Linked DNA regions of Caenorhabditis elegans. The protein of the gene in region 2 interacts with the protein of the main gene of each other region in a pairwise test. Each region holds a gene or a part of one and is shown on either strand. Other genes may lie near its edges. The genes, in order: F55F8.8 and C35B1.2.

The links.
Region 1: the proteins of C35B1.2 (region 2) and F55F8.8 interact in a two-hybrid assay, tested with the Caenorhabditis elegans proteins (one large-scale study listed by BioGRID).

Annotation. Positions count from the first base shown.
Region 1 is NC_003279.8:5,666,448-5,671,466, forward strand, and holds F55F8.8 (uncharacterized protein), read right to left. Parts: upstream 3,291-5,019; 5' UTR 2,391-3,290; coding exon 2,327-2,390; intron 2,281-2,326; coding exon 2,189-2,280; intron 2,145-2,188; coding exon 1,964-2,144; intron 1,897-1,963; coding exon 1,810-1,896; intron 1,405-1,809; coding exon 1,306-1,404; intron 871-1,305; coding exon 701-870; 3' UTR 622-700; downstream 1-621. Other genes in the region: ptr-10 (SSD domain-containing protein), read left to right, coding at 242-391, 449-516; zipt-2.4 (Zinc transporter ZIP3), read right to left, coding at 4,048-4,227, 4,275-4,436, 4,503-4,803.
Region 2 is NC_003282.8:4,084,514-4,089,471, reverse strand, and holds the start of C35B1.2 (SWIM-type domain-containing protein), read right to left. Parts: upstream 3,261-4,958; 5' UTR 3,248-3,260; coding exon 3,181-3,247; intron 3,093-3,180; coding exon 3,031-3,092; intron 2,975-3,030; coding exon 2,889-2,974; intron 2,839-2,888; coding exon 2,705-2,838; intron 2,632-2,704; coding exon 2,530-2,631; intron 833-2,529; coding exon 585-832; intron 254-584; coding exon 184-253; intron 1-183.

The DNA.
Region 1 (5,019 bases), on a different chromosome or scaffold from region 2:
AAGACTACAGTACTCCTACATTAGCCCAACCCACTTTTACTTCAAAACTCAAAATTCATATTTTCAAAACTACATTAAACCTACAGTACTCCAACCGTACCCCAGAATATTCCATCATTCAACAATCTTTAAGTCATCCTTTAAAAAACTCAAACTTATCTCTCTTACAGTACCCCCAGAGTCCTGTTATCCTGTAACACAATCCTTACAGACAGTCGTTGTCTTACAACCACATTTACAGGTGCAATGTCAACAATTTTGGCAGTTTCTGTATTGTCTGATGTGCCTGCTTATATGATTGTTACATTTTTCAAGACAGTTTTTCTCGCAATTTCAATTGGATTCCTTCATGGATTAGTATTTCTTCCGTTGATGCTTTCCGTTTTTGTTGGTAAGATTTTTGACATTCACATTTCAAATATATCAATTAAATATTGTATTTATCTAGGTTGCTGTTCATCAAATAAAATCGAGACTAAATCAGTGAAAGAACCTCGTTTTGTTGGAAGATACTGATGGAATTTCTCTCAAATATCACATTTCCCACCACATTAATGATCTCATTTTTCTATTGAACCCGTGTGTAAAATATTTCTAGTTTTGATAAACTTTGAACGAATATTAAGATGTTTCAACACTTTATTTCCTATTTTTCACGATGTACAGATATTCAATGAAATGGAATTCAACTGTCAAATCGTCAGCTTGAATTTAGTGGTGTTGACTCATTTCGTATAATCATTTCAGCAACTTCATCATCTTTCTGAAACTGAAAAGTCTCTAAGTTGTTCAATCGCATTGGTAATTGTGGGGCTGGCGGTCTTGACTGAACTTCCACACGGTTATCAATTGGTGATTGTTCAATTGGTCCTGAAACAAATTAGTTTGTGGAAAAATTCCATCCTGTTTTTCTAATTTCTAATACCTCATTTCTACATACGTGAATATCCTATGCCTACCTTGTTAGAAGCTGCTTATATGCCTATCTCTTGTCTACCCATGTCCATTCCTCGTTTCTAACTTGTATGTTCTTACATTATGCCTATATCGAACCTCTCTAAATACGTATCTACCTATTAAAAGCCTACATTCATGCCTCGTATATTTTCAAGTTCCTAGCAATGTGCCTGCCCTTCGCCTACTTCAAATCTACTTCTTATCTGCATGTCTAAATGATTAGATAATGCCTATATCTTGCCTGGCTACCTCATTGCCGCATTTTTACGAACGAACAGTTTTTAATAGGAATTAATTCAGAATAATCTCAATGCTCAAACATAATATTTCCCAGAATGTTTAAATTACTTTGCATTCTCTGGAATGGAACAAAATGTCCTGGAATCGGTGGGCCTGCTCCTAACAATGGCATTGTTAATGGACGAAGTGCATTCAGCAAAGCTCCTTCTGAAAAGGCAAAAAATGGCATGATAACGAAACAAAATTGAATATTCTTTAAATTGTTGAATTTTTTAACTTTTAGAAATCTGTTTCTCGGACATGCTTGAGAAAAGTTAGGCTATATCTCAACAAAATATTGTTCTACCTTTCCCAATTTTTATATTAAGTCTAAATATATATCAGGTTTAGAATAATTATAAGTATCATTATTTCGTGGAAAGAACGAATTCAGCATCCTTCAATATTTGTGGGCTCAAGTTTTATGTAACCATGCAAACTTCACCAGAATTAGTTTAATATTATGAATCTCTATAAATAAAAAACTTATCAGAATTAAGTTTAATATTATTATTTTAATTAAAGCTAGTTGACATAAAGAAGAACAAAAAATAAAACAAAGTGGCAACCAACCCATAACCAATAATCCATTTCTCGATACAGCTTCCCGTGTTGCAATTGAATTTAACTGATTCACAAGAGATTCTTGTTCCGACATCTCTGAATAATTTTACTTTATTTTCATAAAAGATTATGTTTGCAAATATTTCATATATTACCAACTTACTTGCTAAAAACGTCCGATCATCTTCAATAGTCGGAGGTGGAGCTGGACGAATGATGACTTGTTGACCTGGAAGAGGTGGTGGAGGTATTGGAGCAGGAATTGGTGATTCAATAGATACAGATGTCATTGTATTTGTTTCCAAATTGTGTCGTCCAGTTAATGGTTGACCGTCTGGATTCATCTGTAATATTTATGTTACGATAAGAAAATTCAAAAATGGAAAACCTGATTATGTCGAATCGCTGCTTCTTTTGTCATTTTTTCAATTTGTAAATGCCGTAGATTTGTGTCTTCCAACATTCTTCGTACTTCCATTTCTACAATTAATATTTCGTTCATAGACGTTTCAATTATTTCACTTACCTGTCCATTGTCCGTAAACTTTCAAAAAATGTAGAAGTAGATACCAGGCAACTGTAGTTCTCATTCTAAATATTTTTCGGACGGATATTAATTAAATTATTTCAATAGACCAGAAAAACGTTCTAGCAGTTCCAATCACGGTTTTATTTTTTAAAATTATTTAAACTGTCTTTTTAGGACTTCAAAAAATACAAAAATTCTTTAAAAGTTGCAAAGCGTCCAAAATTATATGCATTCAGTGCGAAGCGAAAAAGTTATAAATTGGAAGTTATGCTAATTTAGCAAATTTTAACCAAAATTCCAATAATCCTTGAAAAACTTTTCTAACATTCAGAAGTCTAATTGCAAAAAATAGAGCAAGTATAAAAAATTTATTAGAAATCCAAAATTTAAAAAAAGAGCGGAGCCTATTTTTAGGTGTTCTAAAATTAATGTTCAACGAGCTAATAAATTTGAAAGTATTTAAAAATCAATTGATTCCAATCATGATCTGTAGTTTTTGTGAACATCTTATTGCATATATTGTAGGTTTTCCAAAAGGTAGCAGATGAGAAATGTTGCCTCAAAAATTACGGTAGCCGGTCTCAACACGACAAAATGTTGTTTTTTTAATGCAAAATTGTCTGCGTCTATAAAGAGTACTGTAGTGCCCAACTCCTCTCCTGTTTCATGAACATTCGAATAAATGTCAATTTTTGAAAACAATTAAGTACTATTAATAACAGGTGTACAGCACTTTTTAAAGGCGCACACTTTTTTGCATTTAATTAAAATTTGTCGTGTCGAGACCGGGAAATGTATAAGTTTAAGACAAAATTTCCCATAATCAAAAGTTTAAAAGCTTTTACTGTGGTTTTGGTATCTATTTGAACAAAAAAAACAAAAATTTAGATGAAAAATAAAATAGCCAGTGCGACTTGGCATAGCATAGCCATTCAGTCAGTTTGATTTAAAACTAGTTGGTTAGCCATGTGAAGTGCCAAAAAGGGTTTATAGTAGAAAGGAGAGAGGATGAATACGTAACAAAAAGTCACTTTTCTCTTTTTTTACTGTATTCCTTCTCCTCATAATCCGCCTTCCGATACTTTCATTTTTCGCCACGTCATTTCCTATTTCAGAAGACAATAGAATTAAAAAGTGAACATGGAGTTAGTCATCTAACAATGTGAACATTTTCAAGAAGCATTGATTTTATTCCGAAAAGTTAAGAATTCACTGATTCTCAGCATTATTTTTTATAGACAAATTAAAGCATTTTTTGTGCGGAAAAACCAGAGGGGGCATATGAGAATAAAAATAAAAACAAAGCACAACATTATGAGGAATAGAGAAGAGGAATAATTTTAACATTTTGAAGAAAAATTGGGAAGAGGAAAACAATTCAATCGAAAGCCACTACCCGCAACTATAGGAAATGAAATGAATGGTTGAAAAAACTGAAAATGGGCAAAGATTAAAACAACAAAATTTGAAATACATTATTGATTACCGGCAAATGCGAATACATTTTCTACTATTCAATAATATTTTCAACAACTGGATTCGAATGGTGAATATGTCGAAAATGAAGAAAAGTGATAGTATGCTACAGAAATCGAGCGTCTCACAAAATTAATACATACAGTTACGGATTTGTTAGAGTAATTTTGTGATACGCATGAAATGAAAATTGATTATGAGATGAGATTAACTTATCAAAAAACAATATTATTTTGGAATAGTTAATGTCCATAGTCATCAAAAGATGAATTTCCATGGAAATGTGGTTCTGTCGAGCCACTATGAGAATGACCATGACTCGATTCGAATCCACGTAATGCTCCAATCAATGCAAATCCAATAAACATCACTAAAAGTTTTAAAAGATTTGGATGCTCGTTGTCTCTTTCGTGAAGAAGAACCTGAAAATGTGTTTGAATTTTAACTCATCAAATGAAAAATATAAAACCTCGAAGAAAGTGACATAGATGAATGTTCCGACTGCAAGACCTTGCAGAATCGTGATCGTCAAATCTTTCCAGAGGGCATTATCAGCTGCTGATGTGACTGCAAGGCCAATCAGTGCACCAAGTGGAGTCATTGAAGCAAGTGTGAAGATTGAGATGATCACCTGAGAAATGAAAAATAGTTGTTTTTTTTAATTTGATAGTTTTTCAGAGAGTAAATCTTTCCTTACCCATTTAATCTGATGTGCATGAGTTCTGAACAATTGAAGGCCAACAGAAAATGCGACAATCAATTTGTGAACCATTAATGATAGGAATAAAGCAATAATCGTATCATTTCCTGATTGAACTCCAAATGCGAGACCTTCAATAATTGAATGAATTCCCAGTGCCAATACAAATGTAATTGATCGTACTCCATGAGAATGAGCATGTGGGCGAGATTTCATGAGAATTGGAGGATCCTCATCAATTGCTTCACAATTTGTTTCACATCGTTCTGGCTCGGCAAATGCAACTGGGGCGAATGTACTGAAAGAGAGCAATTTTATTTTAGAAATCTGTTTTTTTTGAAAGGGAGTTTACGAACAAAGAGTATGGAAGAGATTTATTTGCGATAGAACTGACAGAGGAAAACAATTATATTTTTGGACCATTGGATTTAGATATTTTATATTTTACATATAAAATTAATTGTTGCTTCTTAATCAATTATTATGAAATTAAAATGACCAAAAAAGCATAATA
Region 2 (4,958 bases):
AATAAAAATCTGGCAAATTCGAAATTCTAAGTGATTTTTTTTTTGGAAATTCTGCATTTTCGCAGTGAAAAATGTAACTTTTCCTGCCAAAATCGGGATTTTCTCACACATTTTTAATGATTTTTGATAAAAAAATGCCTTTTTCCTTCCAACAACTTATTCCAGCTTAAATAATCTGTAAACCTGTATAAATCCTTCGAATAAAATCGCCACGGCTATCGGTTCCCGGATGGATGAATTGCTCGCAGACTATCTGGAAAATTACAGTTTTTACCCAATTTTCAGTCAATTTCTGCACTAAACTACGATTTTTAATGAATTTTCTGCATTCTCGGGCAATTTTTACAGCGACTTTTAGTAAAATTGTTCAAAATTTTAAGCAATTTTCAAGCCAATTTCTAAAATTTTAAAACGATTTTTGCACACACATTTTGCATAAAAAGTGTGAAATTTGAACAATTTTTTTAATCATTTTTAGCGATTTTTAAGTCAATTTTCCGGATTTTTTTTGCGATTTTAGGTTATTTTTAAAGCTTTTTCTCATAATTTTTTTTTCAATTTTTTGCAAATTTCCGCATTTCTACCTTCAAATTATGGTCATTTTTCTGTGTCATCAACGGGCGGGCTCTTCCAACTCCAAGTACATATTTTCTAACAAACATTTGTGCAGAATTCCATGTTCCGAGTCCATCATTACATATTTCTTCTTTTAATAATCCTTCTTCCAGATGAATTATAAATGTTCCAGTATTTGTGAATTCCTGTGGAATTGACGTACAAATTAATGATTTTGGGATCTCGGAGGCGTCTGTTGAAATAAAATTTACCACGTCTGGAAAGAAATTGCGTTAAAAATTGGGGGAAAATCGGGAAATTCCATTATTTGTTGCTTAAAAAACCTTCAAAATTATTCAAAATTCTCACTAAAATCCAATTGTTATTGAAACGCCGAAAATCCCAGAATTTAGGTGTAAATTCGCTAAAAATTGCTGAAAATCACTGAAAATTCGCTAAAAATCTGTGATTTTCGTGTAATTTTCAGATTTTCATCTCAAAATCGCTGCTGAATATTGGCAATTTTTGAGTTAATTCCTAGGATTTAAATCTGGAAATCTCTGAAAATCCGAGATTTTTGAGAAATTTATCTAGAAATCAAAAAAATAAGTGAATTTCCTTGAAAATTTGTAAATTTTACCTAAAAATCGTTGAAAATCGGTTAGAATTCTTGAGTTTCAATGAAAAATTGCTTATAATTCTGAAAAATCCAAAAATTTCAATGAAAATTCGCTGAAAATCCGAGAATTTTAGTTCAAATAGGCTTAAAAAAACAATAAAAATTCTGAAATAATAGTTGAAAATTGCTGAAAATGACATAAAATTCAAGATTTTCAGTGGAAATTCTCTTAAAATCAGTTAATTTTTCACAAAATTCCATTATTTTTTGCTTAAAAAACTTTAAAAGTACTCAAAATTCTCACTAAAATCCAATTTTTAATGAAAATTTTACAAAAAAAATCTTTAAAAATCCAGGAAAGCTGCAAAAATTGTAATTTTTTCGGGGTTTTCACCAATTTTTTATTCGATTTTCTAAATATTTCACAGATTTTCGACAGGAAAATGTTTCTAAAAATCCTTTAAATGACCGTTTCTAATACGATTTTTGAATTTTCGAAGCTAATTTCAAGTGAAATTCTGTCCAAAATTCCTTTTTTTGGGGAAAAATTCACAAATCGTTTTGGAAAACGGTCATTTATAGGATTTTTAGAAACTGTTCCAGTCGAAAATATGTGAAATATGTAGAAAATCGATTAAAAATTTGGTGAAAACCCCGAAAAAATTACAATTTTTGCAGCTTTCCTGGATTTTTAAAGATTTTTTTTGTAAAATTTTCATTAAAAATTGGATTTTAGTGAGAATTTTGAGTACTTTTAAAGTTTTTTAAGCAAAAAATAATGGAATTTTGTGAAAAATTAACTGATTTTAAGAGAATTTCCACTGAAAATCTTGAATTTTATGTCATTTTCAGCAATTTTCAACTATTATTTCAGAATTTTTATTGTTTTTTTAAGCCTATTTGAACTAAAATTCTCGGATTTTCAGCGAATTTTCATTGAAATTTTTGGATTTTTCAGAATTATAAGCAATTTTTCATTGAAACTCAAGAATTCTAACCGATTTTCAACGATTTTTAGGTAAAATTTACAAATTTTCAAGGAAATTCACTTATTTTTTTGATTTCTAGATAAATTTCTCAAAAATCTCGGATTTTCAAAGATTTCCAGATTAAAATCCTAGGAATTAACTCAAAAATTGCCAATATTCAGCAGCGATTTTGAGATGAAAATCTGAAAATTACACGAAAATCACAGATTTTTAGCGAATTTTCAGTGATTTTCAGCAATTTTTAGCGAATTTACACCTAAATTCTCGGATTTTCGGCGTTTTCCACTGAAAATCGGGCGTTCTCCAGTACTTTTATCGATTTTTTCAGCGAATTTTCAGTGATTTTCTCCAATTTTCAGCCAAAACCTTTGAGAGAAACAGCCGAATCCATGAAAATTGGCCAATCGAAATGCATTCCCGAACCATCTTTTCTGACGAATATTCTCCAGGTTTTCGAGGTTGAAGGCTCTGAAAAATTGAAAAATTACAGTTTTTAGCGAAAAATTCCAGAATTTCAGCATTTTTCCCTTTGAAAATCTACCTCCATCGTCATCCATAACTTCTGGATCAGAATCATCCAAATCTTGCTCCACGAGCTCGTCAAACGCGTCATATTGTTGATATGACTTCACTCGGACCGCCCGTGGAGGCTGACGCTTCGGAATATGGATTATTCTGGAATTTTATTGATTTTTAGGCAGTTTTTAGGCTTAGAATCCACTCACTCTCCTGTCCGCTTCCTTCCAGGCTTTCTGAGGACTTGTTTCCGCTTTTGACGGGTTAATGGGACCCTTTCCTGCCAGACGCCGGCCTAAAAATAGACTTTTTGTTGGAAAACTGAAGAAACCGATAATAAATTAATATTACATCTTCCTGAGCAACTTCCTCCGGATCCTCGTCCTCTCCAATGTCGAAATGGTCGAGTTCTTCTGGAAAAATTCGAAATTTCAGCGATTTTTAACATATCTTCGGAAAAAAAAAATCAAAATTCCCCTAAATTTTTTGGCTAAAACTCACGAATATTATCCTCATCAAACGGGAAATCATCCTCTCCTTCTATAGAAACCTCCAGACGTTCTGACATTTTCTTTTTCGAGCTGAAAATTAATTATTTTCACATTTTTTCGAATTTTGTCGATTTATAGGCGAAATTTTACGTTAACCTAACGGAAATATGAGTTTATAATGCATTTTTAATCGAAAATTCGGTTTTTTCAATAAAATTTGCTATGAAATCCGCAAAAACGCCTGGAAATTGTCTGAAAACGAAGAAAAATAAAAATAAAAATCCGAATTCTGTGCATTGTGACGTGGCGGTGTTTGCGTACCCGACATTTAATTTCACGACACTTGTTTTTATGTTTTTATTGTTTTCTCGATTTCTGCAAGTTTTCCACTTAAAACGTGCGGAAAAAATCCAGAAACTGTAAATAATACTAAAAAAATATAAATTTTCCACAAAAAAGGCATGAAAACTAACAATTACCTCAAATATCGTGAAAAATGCAAAAAAATAAGCCTTTCCGAAAAAACGGGCCCTTGGGCCTTTAAAGGACACAAAAACAGGAAAGCATAAGACACCAAAGAGTAATTGGATTTCTACACTTTGGTTCCTAGAATTATTTATAAGGTGTTATTGCGTTTTTGTGAGATTGTTCTATTTATCCAGTCAAAAATTGCATTTTCTTTGTTTTTGCTTCAAAAAAATACATTTTCAGTGGAAATTTCAGCTGAAAAGCAGAATTTTGAGGTTTTCGAGTAAATAACGTAAAACACTAAATTACAAATATTGATTTTTGATGTCTTAGACCAAATTTTCGTAAACATGTTTGTATTTTTGGAAAAAATAGGTTTTTTGTCGATTTTAACTTAATTTTTCGAACAAAAAATGATTTTTTCTCCGATTTACCAAAGTTTTGACTTAAAATTCCGATTTTCTGGGTCATTTTTCCCCTAAAAATACGATTTTAATTCAAAAAATCTATATTTTCAAAGACCAAAGTACCATAACCTTCAAAAAACAACCACTTTCTCTATTGCATCAGCGAATTGTCATCACCCCTCTCAAAATATACAAAACGTCATCATTTTTCTGTGTTTTCTCTAATTCTCCTGAAAAATTCTATAAAACCAACAGTTTTTATCATCAAAAATGCCTTTTGACCGACTTTTTTTAAAGTTGAAAATCGTACAGTTTTAGCAGAAATTCCAGAGTTTCATTTTGAAGTATGCTGGAAATAATAAAATTATTCTAACATTTATTAATATTTTGTAAAACTAATTCTATACAATAAAAAAGTAAAATTTAATATTAAAAAAACCGGTTTTTCTCAAATTTCCATTCCCCAATGTCCTGTTCTATTATTTGTTCCGATTCGGCCACAGAACGCGCACACACACACTTTTTGCTGATTCTCTGCCTCCTTTCTTTGATTTGACCGCATTTTATATTGATTTTCGGCCACAATTCCACTATTTGTTCAGTTTGTCGATTTGTTGGAAATTTCAATTCCGGCAATTCGCCGATTTGCCGGAAATTTAAATTCAGACAATTTGCCGGTTTGCCGGAAATTTTCAGTTCCGGCAATTTTTTAATTTGCCGGAAGTTTCCATTTCGGCAACTTGCCAATTTGCCGGAAATTCGCCGTTTTGCCGGAAATTTTCAATTCCGACAACTTGCCTATTTCCCGGAAATTACAATTCCGCCGATTTACCAATTTGCCAGAAATTTTTAATTCCGGCAATTTGCCGATTTGTCGGAGATTTCAATCCGGCATTTTGCCGAAAATTTCAAT